4 linked regions of the Drosophila melanogaster genome follow. The protein of the gene in region 1 interacts with the protein of each later gene in a pairwise test. Each region holds a gene or a part of one and is shown on either strand. Other genes may lie near its edges. The genes, in order: CG17162, Golgin84, CG9106 and SNF4Agamma.

Region 1 (5,602 bases):
ATGCACCACATAATTATAAAGAAAATTCGTATCATAACCGGTTATACAAGATGGCTGAAAAGTAGCTTGAACGAATCGGTTTTTGGCCCGATAAACTAACAAACAAAAACAAGTTGAGTTAACCGACGGTAACAGGAAAAAATCAGAACAAATTTCTGATGACGATTATCATTATAATTTCCATAAAATGAGTTATAAACAATAGAGAATGCGATAGTCGAGTTCCCCAGCTATCGTTACTCAGGTGGAACGACATATTTCAATATGTCTTTTAGAATATCGGCAGAAATTGGAAACCAAAATAATAAAATGGAAACTAATTTAAAAATTATTCCAATGTAGGCGTGACAGTTTTGGGTGGTTTGTGGGCGGTAGAGTGTGCGTGCCAAAATTTTTTTTTGCGAATTGGTAGATATGTACAAGACTTATAAAACCATGAAACAAATTTTTTTAGTTTTGGGCGGTTTGTGGGCGTTAGAGTGGTAATGGTTAATCTCAACATTCTAGCTTTTATAGTTCCTGAAACTGAAGCTATAAACGCTTTATTCTACCTGTTACATACTTTCCAACGAATCAACTATACCCTTTTACTCTACAAGTATTTTTTATCTTTGTATTTTGTATTTCGATGTCGTAGAATTCAGAAATTTTTTGTATGCTCTTTTAATGCGGTATACATATACATATATATGTACAATATTCCTGATTAGGATCACTAGCCGAATTGATATGGTAAAGTCTGTCTGTCCGTAAGGGGGCTGTCACCTCGAAAACTTTAAAAGCTTTGAAGTTAAGATAATGTATGCATTTCTTTCCTTTTTTCTGATTTTCGAAACGTAACGTTTTAAACGTTTTAATCATTCGTTAATCAAACAGCAATTCATATAACAGAACGTTATATGAATTTTTGTTAAGTGTTCTAAATATTTTGGTAACACAGACAGGACGAAATGAATTTTCTATCTATTAAATAAATTGATATTTAAAGAAAGCAAATTAATTTAGAAATATATTGACAATTTCCAACTAATTTATCTCTGTTATGGAAAATTAGTTTAGGAAAAAAGTTAAAATAACAAAAGGAACCGCTATAGATTTTCTCCACTAGCGCCACTCAACTAAGGGGAGAACGAGGGAGAAACTTTGAAACTTGATTGTCATATCCATAAAATTGTTTAGAATAACAAGAGAGAATGCTATAGTCGAGTTGCCTGAATATCAGATACCCGTTAACCCAGATATTTTTCTGCGATACCAAAAGATGTTGGGGAATAAAATGAGAAAAAATTTCAACAATTTTCAAAAGTGGGGCGTGACCGGTTTGTCGGCTTAAGGGCGTCACAGTGGGTGTGGCAAACAGTTTTTTTTTGCACATCGATCGGAATTTACAAGACTAATAAAGATGTGAAAAAATATCAATATATTTTTCAAAAGAGTGCTTGTGGCATTTTTTCGTGGGCTTGTGGGCGTTGCAACATGGATCAACAAACTTGCGCTGCGTCTTTGTCTCTAGAATCTGCATGCTAAATCTCCGCCTTCCAGCTTTTATAGTTCCTGAGATCTCGACGTTCATACGGACAGACGGACATGGCTATATCGACTCGGCTATTGATCCGTTATACAGTCGGAAACGCTTCCTTCTGCGTGTTACATTCCTTTAAACGAATCTACGTTACTCTACGAGTAACGGGTATAATAACCAAATAAAAAAGTCTAAACATATTTAAAAAATTTGGTTGGCGTTCGAATGAGATGGTGGAGGTATTTTGGCAAAGCGATACAAAGTAGCAAAAAATCAAAAAATGCAATGAAAAATAATTATAACATTTCACAAAAGTGTGGGTGTGAACCTTTTGGGCGGTTTGCCGTCGTTAGGGTGTGCGAATATTTCAAAACTTGCCCACGTACCACTATGTGAAATTTTACCACTTTTTCTGCCCAAAATGAATAACTCCAGGACGTTGAAAGATATTCAGATTGGGTTACAATATATCCGTTCTGAAACCGCCCCTTATATTTGTTGTAGTTTGTAACTCTAGAACGGATAAAGATATTTAAATTTTTTTGCCATTATCTTTTATGATACCAAAAATTGTGGCCGTGGCACCGCCTCTTATATTTAATTAACTAATTTTGTATAGGTATTTCCCTAATTTCGTATGCTTTTTCTAGTCCAAGCAAAGAACAACTGATTTCGTGGTAGTGGTTGCATATTGAATTATTTTACAAAAAAGTAAACACAAACATAATAACAAATTAATGAATCAATTCACCAACAGGCATTTTTAACTCCCTTTTAGCTAAAATTACTCTGCATTTGAACAAGTAGGGTAAGGACCTAAAAACTATAATTTCTCCGAAAATCGCAAAGAATGCACTTTTTAATTACAACTATCTAAACAAGAATTAAATAAGCTACAAAATAAGGTATATTTCATGAATGAGTTTTGTTGCATTCGCTTTAAATCCCTTTTGAAAGTTAAGTTTTTATAACAAAAATATTTTAGTAAGACAACATACATTTTTACGGTATAAAGTCCCCTTAATACACGATTTTTTGATAGTTTTGATAGTCAAAAACACATAATACAAACCACATTGAATAAAACTAATTTTGCAGAATGAAAAAACGCTATGGCTCAAAAGATATATAAATATTTGTATCAAGGGAAAAACTTATCGTTGCAGACAAAATTTTTTTTGTGCTTGCAACACAGCTTAGAGAATGATTTCTTTGTTTATTTATTTCTGGTATGCAGGAATAAACATTGGCCAATATAACAGAGACAAAGCTAATGCATATGTGAGGGATACACACACACAGTGTTTGTTCTACTTTGAAACACAAAACCGCGTCAGTGTGACACACTTATTGCGCCTTAGCACACACACCCACAGAGGTATTAGGTAAGGGAGAGTGACCCAGGAACGGTAATAATTTCACTAACTTGTCGAAGTCTATAAACCGTAAATATACCGCTAGGACATCAACAACAGCTGTTGGCCTCTAGGTCTGCAATGATTGTGATGCTCTCCGGAAACACGCACATGTGTGTGTGTCTTGTCTACCTTGGCAGTTTAATAAATCGGTTTCAATGAATGATACTAATACTAGTTGCGAATTTAACTCGAATTATCTCTCGGCTAATAAATGCGCTTGGTTTCGTTTGATTGCCACTCCTGATTGTTTAGCGTTTGTTTTAAAACTTTTTTGACACTTACCCAATGTGACCGCATACTGGTACTGAATTAATATCGATAAATATACCAATCTATTTCTAGGGTTAGATTCTGGGTATTCCTTAAACTGTTAAATTGTGGGAATGTTGAACCCTCAACATGAAAAAGAAACAACAAAAGAAAAAATTAAATTTCAATAAAACATTTCTCTGTAAGTAAATTCTTAAAACAATTTAACACTACAGTTGCTGAAGAAAGGTGCGTTTCACTTTCTATTTCTTATAGCAAAAAATAAGTTCCGTTAACCTTGTTGAATTTTGTTATCACTTGGACTCGTGTCTAAAACATTTAAGAACAATCCATTGACTTAAATTATAATGTTTTCGTGTGTTTTCATAGTTATGTTTGTTCGAATACCACAATACCAAGAATACCTTTACCTCATATTATGTTATATTGTTTTAATGTATAATGTTATAGGGTAATCAGGAAAAATTCGTACCTAGTTACGCTACTAGGCATACAATTCCAGGCTTCCTAAAAATGCCTTTTTATTAAATATTACCTCTTTTACTTACTATTACATAGAACTTAAACGGTTCAAAGTATCTGTTAACAACCTTCACCTTAGCAACGTACAGAAAAATGTTTCAGTGGAAACAAGCTATAAAAAATATTGCTTCTGCTTGAATTCATTATTTACAGATTTAGTACCTTTAAAGTATGTTAAAACCATATATCTTTTTTATTTATAGTTTATAATCAGTGACCGCTGTACTACACATCCCAAATCTTGGGATTTTAATGGTAAGGCCCGCGATGTGATTGGCGATGACACTATCGCAGTTACATCCAATCAGTCGTCGATATCTAAGCAGCCGCATTGCAACTTCTAAAAGAATTCGGAAAAGCGGCATCCAAGCGTTGCTTTAGGTAATTGCGTAGCGAAAGTTCAACGGAAGAAAGGAACTTTCCCGGGCCAAGGAGCAGCGCAAGCAGGACTCAACGACAATTTGCAAAGACTATTAGCAATGTCTTCGGCCAGAGACCTTATCAAAGTCGACATAGTAAGTAAAACATTGGCTTTATTTGGATGGTAACAACATATTTTTACTTATCGATGACAAGGAATGGGGCATGGAGCGCCTGGTGCGAGCTCAGCAAGTGGTGGAGCTGCGGCCCTATGACATCGAGTCCTGGAGTGTCATGATCCGAGAGGCCCAAACGCGGCCAATCCACGAAGTACGCAGTCTTTACGAGTCGCTAGTTAATGTGTTTCCGACAACCGCTCGGTACTGGAAGCTATACATTGAGATGGAGATGCGCAGCCGGTACTATGAACGCGTGGAGAAACTTTTTCAACGCTGCCTAGTCAAGATTTTGAACATCGACCTCTGGAAGCTCTATCTTACCTACGTGAAGGAAACCAAGTCGGGTCTAAGTACTCACAAGTAACTGTTATACCTTATTTAAATAATTCACATAATTTGACATCTTAGAAACTATTATAATTTTAGTCAAAACTTGCAATGCAGCGAGCATATTGTTTTTTTTGATGCACAACATTTGTGTTATTCTGACACGCTTATTTTATTGGACTTATCTCTTTTCTCAGAGAAAAAATGGCCCAGGCTTATGATTTTGCACTGGAGAAAATCGGCATGGATCTACACTCGTTCAGCATCTGGCAGGATTACATATACTTTCTGCGGGGCGTTGAAGCAGTGGGCAACTATGCAGAGAACCAAAAGATCACAGCAGTGCGCCGCGTCTATCAAAAGGCTGTAGTCACACCTATCGTGGGCATCGAGCAGTTGTGGAAGGACTATATCGCATTCGAGCAAAACATAAACCCGATTATATCAGAGAAGATGAGTCTGGAGCGATCTAAGTGAGTGTTATACGCAGAGTTTGCTAAATGTTCTTTCTAAATTCCAACTTAAAACCAGGGATTACATGAACGCTCGTCGTGTTGCCAAAGAGTTGGAATACCACACAAAGGGTCTCAATCGCAATCTGCCAGCCGTCCCACCCACACTCACAAAAGAGGAGGTGAAGCAAGTGGAGCTGTGGAAGCGCTTTATCACGTATGAGAAGTCTAATCCCTTGCGCACTGAAGATACGGCCCTAGTAACCCGTCGTGTCATGTTCGCCACGGAGCAATGTTTGCTGGTGCTCACCCACCACCCGGCAGTGTGGCACCAGGCCTCCCAATTCCTGGACACCAGTGCTCGCGTGCTCACCGAAAAAGGCGTGCGTACTAGTGTTGAAAACATTTCACCTATTCTCTGCGTTCCTGTAGTGAATCAAATAGAGTGGGTTATGGCCTTTGCTTGGTGGTGGGCAAAGGTCAAAACCAAAAACGAATCAAATATAGTCTCTTGTTTGCTAAGAAGTGTCGCCCCTCGGGTAAAGGAGCACG
Region 2 (4,731 bases), on another chromosome or scaffold:
AAGTTTCATACCTGGTGGTCGTATAGATAAATATTTGGGCAACCTAAACTTTTTCTTTATTCGGGAGAGCACGTCGATCCGGGAAAATGGTGGCATCAGCGGATTTGTCCATGGCTTCATTACCGAACTGTTGGCTGTGGTGAGAGCACACATCGCTTCGCTGGGCGGAAATGCCATGGTCTCTTTTTACATCACCGAACTTATGTTGTTCGATAATCAGCACAAGAATCAGGTAAGGCAAACACAATGATCTACTTACCTTAAAGTTTTTATACTGAAATCTTGTATTCTTAGGGCCAGTGCCTGATTAGCATCGGAGGCGATGCTGTCTATGTGAGCTACCATGCCGATGACTGATATAAAAACTTGCGGGGCATATAGCGCATGTTTTACGCGAATCGTCCCAAAAGCGTATACTCTCTATTTTCTTCCGCTTAGCTAGAACTATCAGCTCTGCCCAGCAACTGGAGTTAAACTGAAGTTAAACTAATTCACGTTTACTTAACAATTTTACAGCATCTGTAGATGGATTCTTTATGCAATATTTGAACTGTGAGGAATCGTTCTAATCCTAACTTAGTAGTGCTAATTTTTTCGGTCTTGTTACTTGTTTGCTGGATGTTTTTAGCGTTAAATCAATTGCAATTTCTGTACATAGTTGATGTTTATTGAATATTGAATTTAGAACGAGTGCGAGACACAAGTATAATATCGATATATACAATTGTTGCAACCACAAACATGACACATATACTCGTACCACTAGATATCCAATTTTGGCGCGTAAAATACAATACATACAATATTATGGAAATACAACAATTGCTCAACTAAATGTATTTGATTCGATTAGTTTGGTGTAGTGGAGAGCAGCACAAACATGACCCACAGATGTAGTAGGGCCACGTAGACGATCACAGAGACCCGCATCATGGGATAGCGACGCAGAAACGTTCCCACCCGAATACCCATGGAGTCCGCCTGGCGAAGGGCTCGCTTGAAGCGTCGTGCCACACGATTATCGAATGGACTTGGATGCATGAGAAGCGGGAATTGTGCTTTGACTAGGTAGAACTCATATTTATGTAATTTCTGGTACTCGCAGAATGTTAGACTTACCATCATCTGTGCTGTTGAGCATAGTATGGCGGGAGCTGCCCCTTTGGCTCTCCATTTCCACCAAGTGCATGTTTTGCTGTAGCTGCGTCTGTGCCTTTTCGTGCTGTAGTCGCAGGGCATTTCTCTCACTCGTAACTCTTTCCAGAAGACTTTGACGTTCGACCAGTGATTGGGTTAAAGCCTTTAGCCGAGTCTCGTAATCGCTCTTGGCTCCCGTGTTGGCTTCCTCGCTCAATCGCTGACGCATCTGCTGAAGCTGCTGCTCCCGCTCCTGGAGTCGAGTGGCGGCAGCAGCCATTTGGTTACTAAGTTGCTGCCGCAGTGAGGCCAGTTCCTGCGTGAGCACTCGCTGATCGGATTCGGAGGTCACACTGTGTTCCCTTGCCTGTCGCAACTCCTTTGCTAGTGTTTCCTCGCGTTGGCGGGCAGAGCTTAGTTCCACCTGTCGTTGTCTTTCCTGGGAAACGTAATCGTCCAGCTGCAAGCGCGCCTTTTGCAGTTCCTCGTTGGCATGCTCTAGTTCTTGCTTAAGTGACTCGTGTTCAATTTGCAGAAAACGCGTTTCACTGTCCTTGGACACCAGGTTTGGATCTGCGCCCTCCTCCGTGGGCTTCGCCTTCAACTCTGCGATGAGGGAATCCTTTGCTTGCAGAGCTCGCTGAGCCTTGATACGGTATTCCTGAAGCTCCTGGCGCTGCTGCTCCGTTTCCTTTGTTTGCATTTGCAATTTGTGAGCGGCGCTTATGTATTCCTGCTGCAACTTGGCCAGATTGGTTTCCAGTTCGGAGATGGAGTGCACATACGCCATGTTAGCTGCCTGGGCCTCATTGTAGTCATGAACCGCCTTGTCCCGCTCTTCGGACAGACTTTTAACCAGAGCTTCCAGCACCTGGGTGTGTTGATGCAGATCAAACTTTTCGGTTTCGTTATTAAGATCTTCCAAGCGCAGACGCAGTTCATCTCTTTCGGCCGTGATTTCATTCAGGGCGATCTTGAAGGCAGCCAATTCATTTGTGTCCATTGAGTTGGCGGATATGTCGGGACTGTTGGAGAAACTGGCCGACGTGGTCATCTTTTGGCGCATGTCCTTAGTGACCACGGAGACCCCGCCATCGCTTTTTACACTTGATGAGCTATTGGCCCCCGAGCGCCGCACTGGCGACAGAGTGGACTTCAGGGATGTGGACAGTGATTGGGTGCTGCTCGTCATGCTCCTACGCATGGGATCCGCTGAACCTGTGGCGTTCTCTGTCTGCAGGGCCGTTGCCGCATTTTGGTCCAGCTTGTTCAAAATGTTTTCGGCCTTGTCCGCCAGTCCTGTGATCCAGGATGACATATTTTTCTAAGAAAAACAAATCTCTTCGAGTAAAACACGTAAACAATATCACACTGTGTGCCCATATCGCTATCGACTGCGGAATGGTCAACTCCAAAGTTAAGGTCACTCTAAAAGTAACGTAATTTTGAAAAACCTTTTTTCTGATCAAAAAAATATTTATATGAAAATGTAAGGATTGGTTTTAGAAATAAATGTAATTCCAATCTTTCTTATCCGTGCAGAAATGTTAATTTATTATGCTTATCAAAACTCTAGGGTACAAATGAATATTTTATTCAATACTCAACATGGGCAGTGTAATCTTCGCAACTCACAACTATAAACTATCTCTTCACTTTCCAATGCAAAAGTCCTTGAAGACCACGTCGAGTATATCTTCGCAGCTGATGTGTCCGGTGATGCGTTCGATGCAGCGCACGGAGTTGCGCAGCTTGGAGGCGGCTATGGCCATGTCCGGGTAAACGTCGGGTCTGTAATCTCGTAGAAAAATATCAATGTTCTCAATGCAGCGCTCCAGTTGCTGACGGTAGCGTGTGTTTGTGATGCGTGGATTCTCCGCCCGCGGTTCTCCGCACAGTTCTTGCAGCTGCTTCTCCAGTGATCCCAGAAACACGGGCATCTTATCGGGCTTATGGCATGATATGGCTAACACGTTGGACAGCTTGTCCAGCTGCTGATGCTCCTCATCCGTCAAAGTGTCGGTTTTATTGGCCACCAATTGCAGACGTTTCCCTGAGCACATGTCCAGAGGTATATCCAACTCGCCCAGATAGCTATCTACAAACGGAGCAACTGCGTCGTCGTGCGTCAGCTGTGCAATGTTCTTGGCTTCTGCTAGGAGCAATATCAAATCAGATTGGACTAGACAATTCTTGGCTCTCTGCATTCCCTCCTGCTCTATACTATCCGTAGTATATCGGCGTAATCCGGCTGTGTCGGAAAATACCACCGGGTATCCTCCGAAATTGTGCATTGTTTCTATAATATCCCTTGTGGTGCCCGCCTGATCCGTCACTATGGACACGGATCGCTGGCAGAGGAGATTGAGCAGACTACTCTTGCCAACATTGGGTGCTCCAATGATCACAGTGCGGACTCCGTCGCGGAGGAGCTCTCCCTGCCGCTGGTCACTCAAATGCTCGCGAATCTCACGCTTTACCGCCTTTAGTTCTTTGCCGAGTTGCAGGATGATGCCGCCTTCGATTTGCTCCTCTTCGGCGAAGTCTATGTAGGCCTCCAAATGGGCAGCACAGCGAATAAGTCGACGGCGCCAGTTGTCGTAGAGTCGAGCCAGTGCTCCAGTGCTTTGTAGCAGTGCCTGGAGAAAGAAGAGACTTGAAACAAAATTTATGAGACCCTAAGTCCACTGTCTACCTGCTTTCTTTGCGCCTCCGTTTCAGCATGGATAAGATCGGCCAATCCCTCCACCTCTGTCAAATCCAGTTTGCCACCAAAGAACGCTCTCTTTGTGAACTCTCCCGGCTCCGCCGGCCGCAATCCATCCACTTTTCCCAGAGCATCCAACATGGCCGCAATGACTGCCAGGGACCCGTGTACCTGAAACTCGCAGGAATCCTCGCCAGTGAAAGAAGCCGGTCCCGGAAACCAAAGTAAGAGCCCACGGTCAATCATCTCTTTGCTGGCGGGATGGTAGAAGGATTTCAGATACGCCTGACGAGCCTATATGGAAAAGTATTTATAAAGGGAACTATAAGTTTCACTATCATAGAGGTCTCTCGTCTTAAAACCTGGCAGCTTGCCAATTATAACAAATTAAGCAGTTCACGAAATTATTCAATTTATTTAGTCAATTATATGTAAGTTAGGAGAAATTTGTTTATTTTTATACAGGATACATCTCCCAAAATGTATATAAATAAGCAACAGGTCTTTTCATTTGCATACATATATTTTGGATACTAGAAAACAAAACTATACACTGCACAGGTCACGACCCCTCATATATGGAATAATAAACGTTTATATCGATTGACTTGCCTTTGGCTCGTATTCTTTGTTTGCAACAATTGCTCGGAGGGCCTTCTTTGTTTGCGGCCCGGAGACACGGATCACGGACACACCGCACTTGACATGACCGGAACTGAGGCTGTAGATGGTGCATCCGCTGCTGGCAAAGCGCCGGAAACTGCCCAAGAAGCTCTGGGACGCGTTTCTGAGAAGCGCCATCGCCGAAAAACAATTAAATCCCAACCGCCGAATAATAAACAATTGAACGTGATATTAAGTGTGACCGCGGAATGGCCGTTACAAAA
Region 3 (4,413 bases), 7.8 Mb from region 1:
ATTAGAAAAATGAAGCGTCGTGCCGCAAAAGACAAGTTGGTCGTCGTCGTTGCCTCGCTCGACTTGCTTGGCATTTTTGTGTTGCGTGCTTTTGGGCGCGTAATTAGATAAGCAGCCAGCCTGGATATGGGTCCTGTTTATCCATGCCCCAGCTCCTTGCCGTGTCCTGGCACGGTGTCACCAGCCAGCCAGCCAGCCAACTGAACAACCAACAAGCCGCTGACAGATGGAGCGTCATAAAAGCGGCAACAACAATGCGCCGCAGAATGTCTGAGGTTAGGAATAGCGGCAAAGTGGTGGGGCGGAAATGGGAAATGGAAAAGCCGAGACAAGACCAACCAACCAACCAACCAACCAACCGACCGACCGACCAAGCGAGCGAAAAGGGAGTGTAAAGCGGTGACGGGGATTTGAATTTGTCACGTGGCCGGCAAACGCACCTGGGCACAAAGGGGCGGACAAGGACACAACATGCAATTATACGCAATCAACATAAATCATTCAAATTGCCACGCACACACACACACTCGCAGAAGAGGGAAAAATAATGGTAAAGAAAAGTCGAGACGCACTTCAAAAGGGGGCGGCTGTCGGTGTGGGCGTGGTGACCGTTGACGTTGGCTTTTGGCTAATTTGCAATTGAAATGCCCAAATTCTGTGGGCTGGCCGCATTACGCATACGCCGTGTGGTGTCTGCGTGGCAAAGGCTCCTTAAACTTCCGCTCAGTCCATTCATCTTCCACCCCCGCATTCCGAGTCGACTGACAAATGCCACAGGGGCACGTGAAGCGGCCAGTGACCAAGGTAAATGGCACCCATACTGTCCATAGAGATTTCTTTATAAATTTCCTTTATTTTATTATTATTTTTTTTTATTTTTTGCAATTAATTACGGAATAACCTTGCAGATTCGTATACTATTTCTAGTAATTGCTGCCTTCGGAAAAATCACTTAACGCCAGGAACTTAAAATTTAGAGCAGGGAATGTAGCAAGAAAAAACAATCGACGTTATATTGCCAATGCCACGTATTTGGCGAATACTGAATTCCTAGATTTTGCCAACAGTGCCAAAGTTCAAATGACAGTTGCCATGGTCCAGCTTATAAACCGTACAAGCCAAACGGAGCTAATCAAGAATCCATCAAAACCATCGTCCATGTGCGGTACACTGCAATCGCTTCAACGAAGAATCTGGTTTATGCATCACCATCAGTCGAACAGAACGTCCATCGGTATGCCATAAATCTCGGCCAGCTGCAGTTTGGTGTAGGCAACAACGCCGCTGGGACAGTAGGCCATCGCCTCCTCCAGAGTGACCCACTTGGAGCTTGACTCACCGGCACATACCACATGCAGATAGACGATACCATCGAACATCTCATGGCTGATGATGCCCATCAGGTTGCTGGGGGTGCCGCTACTGACGTTTCCGGCGGTGTTGCCACTACCGTTACCATCACCGTTACCGTTACCGTTTCCGCTTCCGCTTCCGTTTCCGCCAATGATGTTGCCGCTCTGGCTCCCAGCGCTGCTCATTCCATCGCCGTTGCCACCGTCGCTGCCGCCACCGCTGCCGCCACCCACGCTGCTACCGCTGGCATTGGCGTTCGAAGAGGTGGACGGATTCAGATTGATGACCATCCTGGAAGGGCAGCGGTTCGGGATATCTATGAGGCAAATATCGAATGCAGCCAATTAACTGAGTGTATTTATAATTATTTGGATCTAGTAAGCCGAAAAGTATTTCTTATATATATTTAACAACAATACTTATATTATAAGTGATAATTAACTCACCTGAATATAAAACTATCAAAAGTGGAAAAGAAATCGGATTGGAAGCAGTTATCAAAGTGGCTCAATACTGAAGCTTCGTTGCTGGTTGCTACCTTTGGCCTTCTGGACGGGATGGTCCGTGGTTGGATTCTCGGTTAGTCCTTCGGAAACCGTAAACTTTGAACTTTGAACCTACGAATTTTGTACTTTGCTCGGTGCGATCCAATGAGACTCTGGTGCAGTGATGTGCTGCTTAGGGATCTGTTATACACTTCTCGACGTTCAAGTCGCACGCGATTCTAGTGCAACTCTCTAATTAGCTAGATACAATACCAAGTTATGATTTTTGTTTCGCTGTTTGATTCTTTTTTTTTTCGATTTTCCTCTATTTTTTTTCACTTTTGTTTAAACGGTGTGTGTGTATTTTGTGTCGATTGTGTGTGTTGACTACCTAGATGATTTTAACTTATGAAATGAGCCATGACATTAATCTGGCATTCTTTTCAAAGCCAGCTGGTACATTTTGTTTCGACGATGAAATGAGAGACACAAATATCGCGAATATTCAAGATTTTGGTAAATTAATAATTCTTATGGCTATTTCATTAATTCATGACACTGCACATTCTAAGTTAGACTTTAAAGTAAGTGCAGTAAGTGTACTATTTAAGTGCAAAAAGGCAAACAAAGTTTTCAAGGATTTTTTTTTTTAGTGTTTTCCTCAGAAAATCCCCATACCATTCACAATTTTTTGACATCGCCCGGCAACACGGGTGTTTATGAATGTGCCATATAATGTTTTGCTTCTGCCAGCAGCACCAAATGAACTGAACAAATAAAACTTTCACGGCAAAGTTGTTGACACGGCAGCCTCCTCCTCTTCCGATTTGCAGCTGCAATTCCTCACCTTCATGTTCACGCTTAGCTCTTTATTTACGATTGCAGGTGCAATGCGGGAAAAGTGCAGGAAAAGTATGGGAAAAGTGTGGGAAAAGTGTGGGAAAAGTGCGGGTGTGGGCGAGAGGAAAAGCAAAGTAAAAGCACCAGAGCTGAGTTTAAGTCGCGGGAGCAGGGGTCCCAAAGCAATTAAATCGCATTCGCCGTGTGGAAAGCAAATAGGATTCCGGGTGGGGCTTTGAATGTGGAGTCCGGACAGAGACAAACAATCAAACGGAAATTAATTGCGGTATGTGTGAAAAGTGAAAGCCAAAAGCTGTTCGGTAAATGATTGTCGAGCAGCGAGTTTTACCCCGGTTTCCCCACGACGACTTTAATTCTTAAACCCTGATTGATAGCTAACCTCGTCCTGGAGCAATGACTTCTGCTCTCCAGCTCTTCAGAATCGAAATGAAACCAAGATAGTATGCTGACATCCGAAAAGAAGTAAATTTTTACCACTGCATAGCCACACAAAGCGAAAACTTTTACACAGCAACCATGTAATAAAATAAGTCTTCAGAATTCGATGGGTAATCTTTTCAGCTGCTTTTTGGTCATTCAATATATGCTTTTCGTATTTAGAGGCATTTTGCTTACTCATTGAACTTATGTATGTGAAACACAGCAATTTTCCACACTTGTGTCATGGCATTGCCAAAAAGCGATAAGGGCGAAGGGTCGAAGTTTAATTAATACACCATTACGTGCTGTTTTTGGCCAACAATGGGTGGGTAAGCTTACCATTCGTTTTGAGATGCGTTGCAGCCCAATTTTGTCAACGTGGCCATAGCTGTATCCACATCCGGATCCGGTTCACAATGAGACGACGACTCATTGGACCGGCAGTGAGTTATATCAAAGACACTAGAATAACAAGATGCGTAACGGCCATACATTGGTTTGGCACTATGCAGCCACTTTTTTGGTGACGGCCAAAATTACTCTCTTTCCGCTCACTCCCGCTGAGAGCGTAAGAAACCTAAAAATATAATTTGCTTGCTTGTGTGAGTAAAAACAAGAGACGAGAACGCGTATAAGTGTGCGTGTTGTGCTAGAAGACGATTTTCGGGCCGAAATCAATTCTGATCGAAGAAACGAATTTACATGGTACATATTAGGGTAGTTTTTGCCAATTTCCTAGCAATATGATAAAATAAAAAAATTTTTTAAAATTCGCGCCCTGACTATTATAATTTTAAAGCTTTTTAAATTTGTTTGTTAAAATTGCCGCTCGAATTAGCTACCGTTTACACATTTATATTTATGTTTAATTCTAATTTTTCTCTCATCTGACAATTTTTTAAAAGCTAAATATTTTTTTTGAAACACTTTTAATGTTAATGTTACATCATATTAAGTCAAATGATTTAATAAATATACTAAATAATTAAATATGCAATTAAATGAAATTGCAAAAGTAATATCAAAGACAATAGAATTATTCTAGTGTCTTTGCTTTGTTCATATCTTGAGGCACGAAGTGCGGACACAAGCACTCAACAATCATTACCTTATTAATTTTTCACACGCCGCAAGATGAATACTCTAATGACAAATATTCTTATATAAAGTCATTTTTGAAATTTATTTTTGTGATAATATGTACATAGATTTGAGTATTTCTAATCTATTTTCAAATAATAATAACGTTAAGGCAATGCAAAACAAGAATTTTTCGCATGGTGCCAATTGATCA
Region 4 (5,188 bases), on another chromosome or scaffold:
GTGGCGTATTAGTAATGTTAGGAAATGTTAGCTGTAGTTGAGTTGAAACTATTAGTTAAAATTCGTTCAAGTAAAGTCTATATAAAATTAGGTATGTATAATGCAAGATATATAAATCAATGACCATTTGTTTTAATTGTTTTGATTGGTTAATTTTAGTGTTCATAAAAGCGTCTTTATATCTAAGTTTTGCTAAGTTTTTTATATTAGAGAATTTACGGAAAATGTTTTATATAGTTCCATCAAAGATCAATATACTCTAATGCCATTGGCTTAATTGAGTTTCAGTTGTTTTAGTCAAAGGAAACAAGAACTTTGCCACCTGTGCGCAATATTGATTTGATTTTTCTCACACTCCATTGCAGTTTTCGGCGAGGCCGACAAGGAAGCATCAGCCACAGGATGCAGAGCAGTGCCGGCGGAGCGTCGGGGGGCAGCAACTACGAGGACGTGGCCGCCGCCCGCCGAGGACGCTTCCGTGTCACCTCCTCCACGCCACAGGGCCCGCCCGAAACGACGCTCGGCCGCTTTCGTCTCATGCCCACGTGTAAGTTGATTTGGTACTTTTTCGCCTTTACAATTTGAGTTTATATAAAGTATACGACATTAATCATTACAGTTATGCTAATAGTAATTGATATCTTTTGGTCAAATTCTCGATAATAAATGCATGGTGCTGAATACTGACCCCTTCTTTCGCCTTTGCAGCTAATTATGGCGCCATTTCGCCAATCCTCCAGCGGGGTCGCTTCGCCGTGATTCCCGAAGAGCCCCAAGCCGGTTCCCCCGCATTGGGAACGCCTCCGCCGGGCGGCCGAACAGCGCGTTCTCCATCGCCCGAATGGGACTTCGACATCGAGCAGGTGAGTGTTCCCAGTTCCTCGGCTGGGATTGATTGATCGAGCTAGCAAAAAACCCTGAGCATCGAGGAAACTTATTTTCGAGAGTACTTCAAATGTATTTATTGCGTCCTTGGACCTATTTGGAATGGTCTAAATGAAGTTCGTGAATGGTGGCAAATTCATCGACTCCGATTTCAAGTATTTTGCTGTTTCTGGTGGCGTCATTGTGTGCTCCTCGGTGGCCTCTGTGCAATGCGCCATTTTTATTGATTTTTGTTGGCTTAGCTGAAGTTTCAAAGAGTTTGGGTGGGCTCCGAAAGTGTGAAAGGCATGCCAAGGCAACTGGTTATGATTATTTATGGGGCATAAAATCTAATTTCCAGCACTATGATGGAAATAGGAATATGCTTATGTACATAAGTTTAATTTTTTTTAGCTAAAGCTAGCTAAAGTTTTTTTTATAGCTTTTATAGCTTTTTTTATAAAAGCTAAAGTTTTTTTTATAGCTAAAATGTTTTCTATTTTGTATGTTCGGCGTGATTTACAGAGCGGAGCAATTTTTGCAATTCAAACTTATATCATTTTGGCGCCTAAAGCGGCGGTGCATGACAAAAACTGATTGCTATTGCGAACACGGTCCGATCTGGCAACGCGTTGTTTTTTAAGTGTGACCGCCGCCGGAAAGTAGCAAAGCGCATTTTATTTAAAATAACTTCTACGCAACTAAAGAATTCTCAATGATTCTTGTTTATTGAATAAATAAGTAGATATATGTGCGTATTTACTTACGCGAGTGGGCACTTAAGAATTTACTATTTAAATGCACATATTTCAGTAAAATTGCAAACAACGAGTTATAGAAAAATACTAAAACAACGTTACAGTTGTGGTCACGCTAATTCCAACTGGATTGTAAAAAGATCTCTAGCGATAACGATAGGCGAAGAGTAAGACCTTTTCTGCTGGATTTCGCAAACGATAACGATGACCACAATCGTGAGTTAGGTTGCGAACTTTGCTTGGTGAAAACGCAGCGGATTACGAGGTTGGGAAAAACTTTTAATTCGCGTTAAAAAACGGGAGTGCAGTGAAAAACAAAGCAAATTAAATGTTCTTAAATTCTTACTAATTTATAATAAATAATTTAATTGAGAGAAAATTCCGGCATGGTGTCAGGATAGCATGTCCGCGCCAGTGGGTGGCTTAGCCATAAAATTCTTCTGTGATAAGCTGCGTGAACAGCTTTTAATTGTGCGCGAATGGATTGCAGAAATTGCAGTGACAACAACGGCAACAACGGACAATCGATCTTTGTTCTTTTGAGTGCGCAAGTGAATTGTGAAACTTCTTTCTTGTTACACAAAACAATAGCCTCTAATCACTTTTCCTGCCCATGCATACACACACATGTGTGCATATGTACATCCCTATAAAAAATCAATAATCGGCGATCAGCTGTTACGCATACAAACAAACACATGGCGTCGCTGGAAAGAGCGACAGAAACGTTTTGGAAATTTTCCACGGACAAATACTTTTATTTGCCCAGATTTGCTATTCTTCTGTTTTTGTTCCTTGTGTCAGTTTCTAGCTGTGTTTCGCGCAGTAATGGTTTAGATTCTTAATAAAAAGTGGCAAACACAACAACGTCCTGCTGCTCCTCTTCTTCTTCTCACCCCTTCCATTGTCCGATCACTGCGTGTTCCAATTGGAAAGTCGAGTCCAAAGTGGAAGCGCGCGCCCGAATAAATTTTCATTTTGATTCTTGATTTTTATGGCTCGCATTCTTTGCTTTTATTAAGATCGATTCGGTTGTTGTTGCTGGTGTTTTCGTGTTTTGTGATTTATTTGGTGTTGAACCAAATGGCTGATAATTAGCCGAGTGAAATGAGTGCTGTAATCTAATCTGAAAAGTCAACACCTCGAAAGTGTTTGGACATCCAGCGAAAAGTCGTCATTATAATTTCGCTCTAATCTCTGAATATACACTCATAACATATATATAACATATAATGCGCCAACACAACCAGCTAATTCGTTACGTCTCTTCTTATTTACAATAATTTCTTAGCGCAGCTAAATGCCTAATCGCGAAATTGTTTACAAAAGTTTTGTTTTCCACCCGTTCAGGTGAACGTGAATGTGTGTTAGTGTGTACGTGAATGTGCGGATGTGTGTATGCGTTCCTGTGTCCGTGAAATTAATTTTTTAACCGAAATTCGACAATTGTGATTCTGCAATCTGCCAGCGCGAATCAGAAACATCCAATTACTGATAAAAACACACAAAAGGTGGGTGACAATTTATTTTCTTTTTATAATTATCGAAAACCTGATTTACTTCACTGCCTTTATTTTCTTTTTGTGTTGATATGAGCGCTTGACGTTTGATTTTCCCCGAAACTTTTCATCTGCCTTTTGTGTCGGTGACTAAGTTGAGTGGGTGGGAAATTCCCCCAGTTCGCGGCGACGCTGGGAAAATACCCAAAATCGCCCAAAATTTTTTCATAATTAGATTTTCAGAATGTGTAAACAATTTTATTAAATTTTTTTATATTTAGAAAACATTTAATAAAAGCGATCAATTATGTAATAGATAGTGTATAACAGTATCAATAACAGGAATAACAGTATTAAATCAGGCAATGTAAAATATAATAACATAAAACAATTCAAAGGGTCTTACCTGAATTCTTCATACGACTTTTTTTTGTCGAAACTCATTTGAAGTTATGGTTATAAAATCGTGAGTGGATTTCTTTAAATGTAAAAGTACCCTATCACGATGCCTACTACATTTTAGACATTGACTAATTAAGTAAGCACACTTCAAGCGAATGCCCAGAAATTAAAAAAAGATAGCTACTGAAGTTGGCAATCAGGAAATGTCGAACTTTGATCTGCGGATACAACTACTAGAAGTCGCAGATAGTCAGTCGCACTATATGGTAAAATTGAATGTTCGCACTTACAGCTGCCACGATTTGTGTGCCGCCAATTACCTTAAAACAAAAATTGCACTGCCAATGTAAACAAAACGTATTTGAAACTCGTGTTCGAATGGATATACATATGTATGTATGGATTTATTCCTAATCACATGCACACGATACTCCGGATCAGCAGATCGACCAGTGATCGTCGAGATCCGTGAAATTGGATTTGTTTCTACTTTCCGTCCTTACGAAGTGGCTGCACTGAAATCGAAACTGTTTGTTTATCTTAGCAATTAGTTAGCCATAAATGTGCGAGTAAGCGAATAGAAGGGATAAAGCATAAATAATTAAAACTGTTCGCATTAGCAGATGGCAATAAAATAACTCGGTTTCTGGTCCATTCGATCGAATTCAATATTGTTGTTTAGTTTCCGAAAATATTGGTTTTGTAATTGACTTGACTTTGTTCAATTCAACTCAAGTTCCCCGAGCCCCACCATCTTGTCTTCGCCCTCCAGTTTTCTTCTCGTTTTTCCATTTTGGTTCGCCAGCCCGAGTTGAACGAACCTCTTTCAATATCTTTCAGAAAAAGAACCCAACTTTGCTTTGCTCGAAAATCAATATTATTGTTTAAATATTATTCTACGTATACGACACAGCGAGCAATAAATATTTACTAGATGTGCTCATGTTGCAAATTGTATTGGTTTTTTGGGGTTGAGTATGCAAAATCAGCAGGGAAATGGAGCAGAAATTGTTTTCGAGATTAGGAATTGAATAGGCGTAGAAAAAAATGATATTCTAGGAAACTAAATCTTAAACAAAGACGAAAAGCCTTCCTGTTTTGTTAGATTATGGTTCCAACTTTGTATATTATCAAGAACTGGTAAAAAAAACATACACGCGAATTCTTTAGTGGAATTCTTCCAACAATTTAAAAAATGATTTATTTATTGGATCGAAAGATTTTATGTTTAAAATTAAGAAGCTTTAGGAAATACTTCAAATATTAATTATAATGTATACATATAATTGTAAAGCTTTGAAAATGTAGTGATCACATAAAAAATGGGCCATATTTAACAACTTCAAACGGACAAGGTCACTTGACTCCAAACAGTTTTGTTGAGCACTTCAAAGGCCTGAATTTGTTCATTCAATTGGGCCAGTTTACTGAATATCAAATCGAACTTGGAATCAAAGTGCTGCACCACTGCTTTCAGTTCATCGCGCAGTTTGTCCACCTCGCTGGGATCAGAACTACTTGTTATGGGCGAGGACTCTACGCTGGCGGAGATTTCCGAAGAGGAGGAGGAGTCCACACCCTCTTTTTCGGGCAAGCGATACATGCAGGCTATTCCGTGAAAGTATTCCCCCGGAAAATCGGGATCGTAGTTATCCACGGTATAGG

What was found.
Region 2: the proteins of CG17162 (region 1) and Golgin84 interact in a two-hybrid assay, tested with the Drosophila melanogaster proteins (one large-scale study listed by BioGRID).
Region 3: the proteins of CG17162 (region 1) and CG9106 interact in a two-hybrid assay, tested with the Drosophila melanogaster proteins (one large-scale study listed by BioGRID).
Region 4: the proteins of CG17162 (region 1) and SNF4Agamma interact in a two-hybrid assay, tested with the Drosophila melanogaster proteins (one large-scale study listed by BioGRID).

The regions. Positions count from the first base shown.
Region 1 is NC_004354.4:23,093,485-23,099,086, forward strand, and holds the start of CG17162 (uncharacterized protein), read right to left. Parts: upstream 3,251-5,602; 5' UTR 2,949-3,250; intron 126-2,948; exon of another isoform or gene 1-125. Other genes in the region: su(f) (suppressor of forked), read left to right, coding at 4,212-4,247, 4,309-4,631, 4,796-5,071, 5,130-5,529.
Region 2 is NT_033777.3:24,355,422-24,360,152, forward strand, and holds Golgin84 (Golgin-84), read right to left. Parts: upstream 2,518-4,731; 5' UTR 2,456-2,517; coding exon 1,120-2,455; intron 1,065-1,119; coding exon 850-1,064; 3' UTR 649-849; downstream 1-648. Other genes in the region: CG6454 (uncharacterized protein), read left to right, coding at 1-232, 295-357; CG18528 (uncharacterized protein), read right to left, coding at 2,790-3,776, 3,833-4,138, 4,457-4,645. UniProt on the Drosophila melanogaster protein: May be involved in maintaining Golgi structure and in intra-Golgi transport.
Region 3 is NC_004354.4:15,270,188-15,274,600, forward strand, and holds CG9106 (uncharacterized protein), read right to left. Parts: upstream 2,219-4,413; 5' UTR 1,800-2,218; intron 1,728-1,799; 5' UTR 1,644-1,727; coding exon 1,212-1,643; 3' UTR 849-1,211; downstream 1-848.
Region 4 is NT_033777.3:21,154,525-21,159,712, forward strand, and holds the start of SNF4Agamma (SNF4/AMP-activated protein kinase gamma subunit), read left to right. Parts: upstream 1-1,837; 5' UTR 1,838-1,887; intron 1,888-2,913; exon of another isoform or gene 2,914-2,972; 5' UTR 2,973-3,133; intron 3,134-4,713; exon of another isoform or gene 4,714-4,865; coding exon of another isoform or gene 4,866-5,188. Other genes in the region: cDIP (common Dpr-interacting protein), read right to left, coding at 4,866-5,188.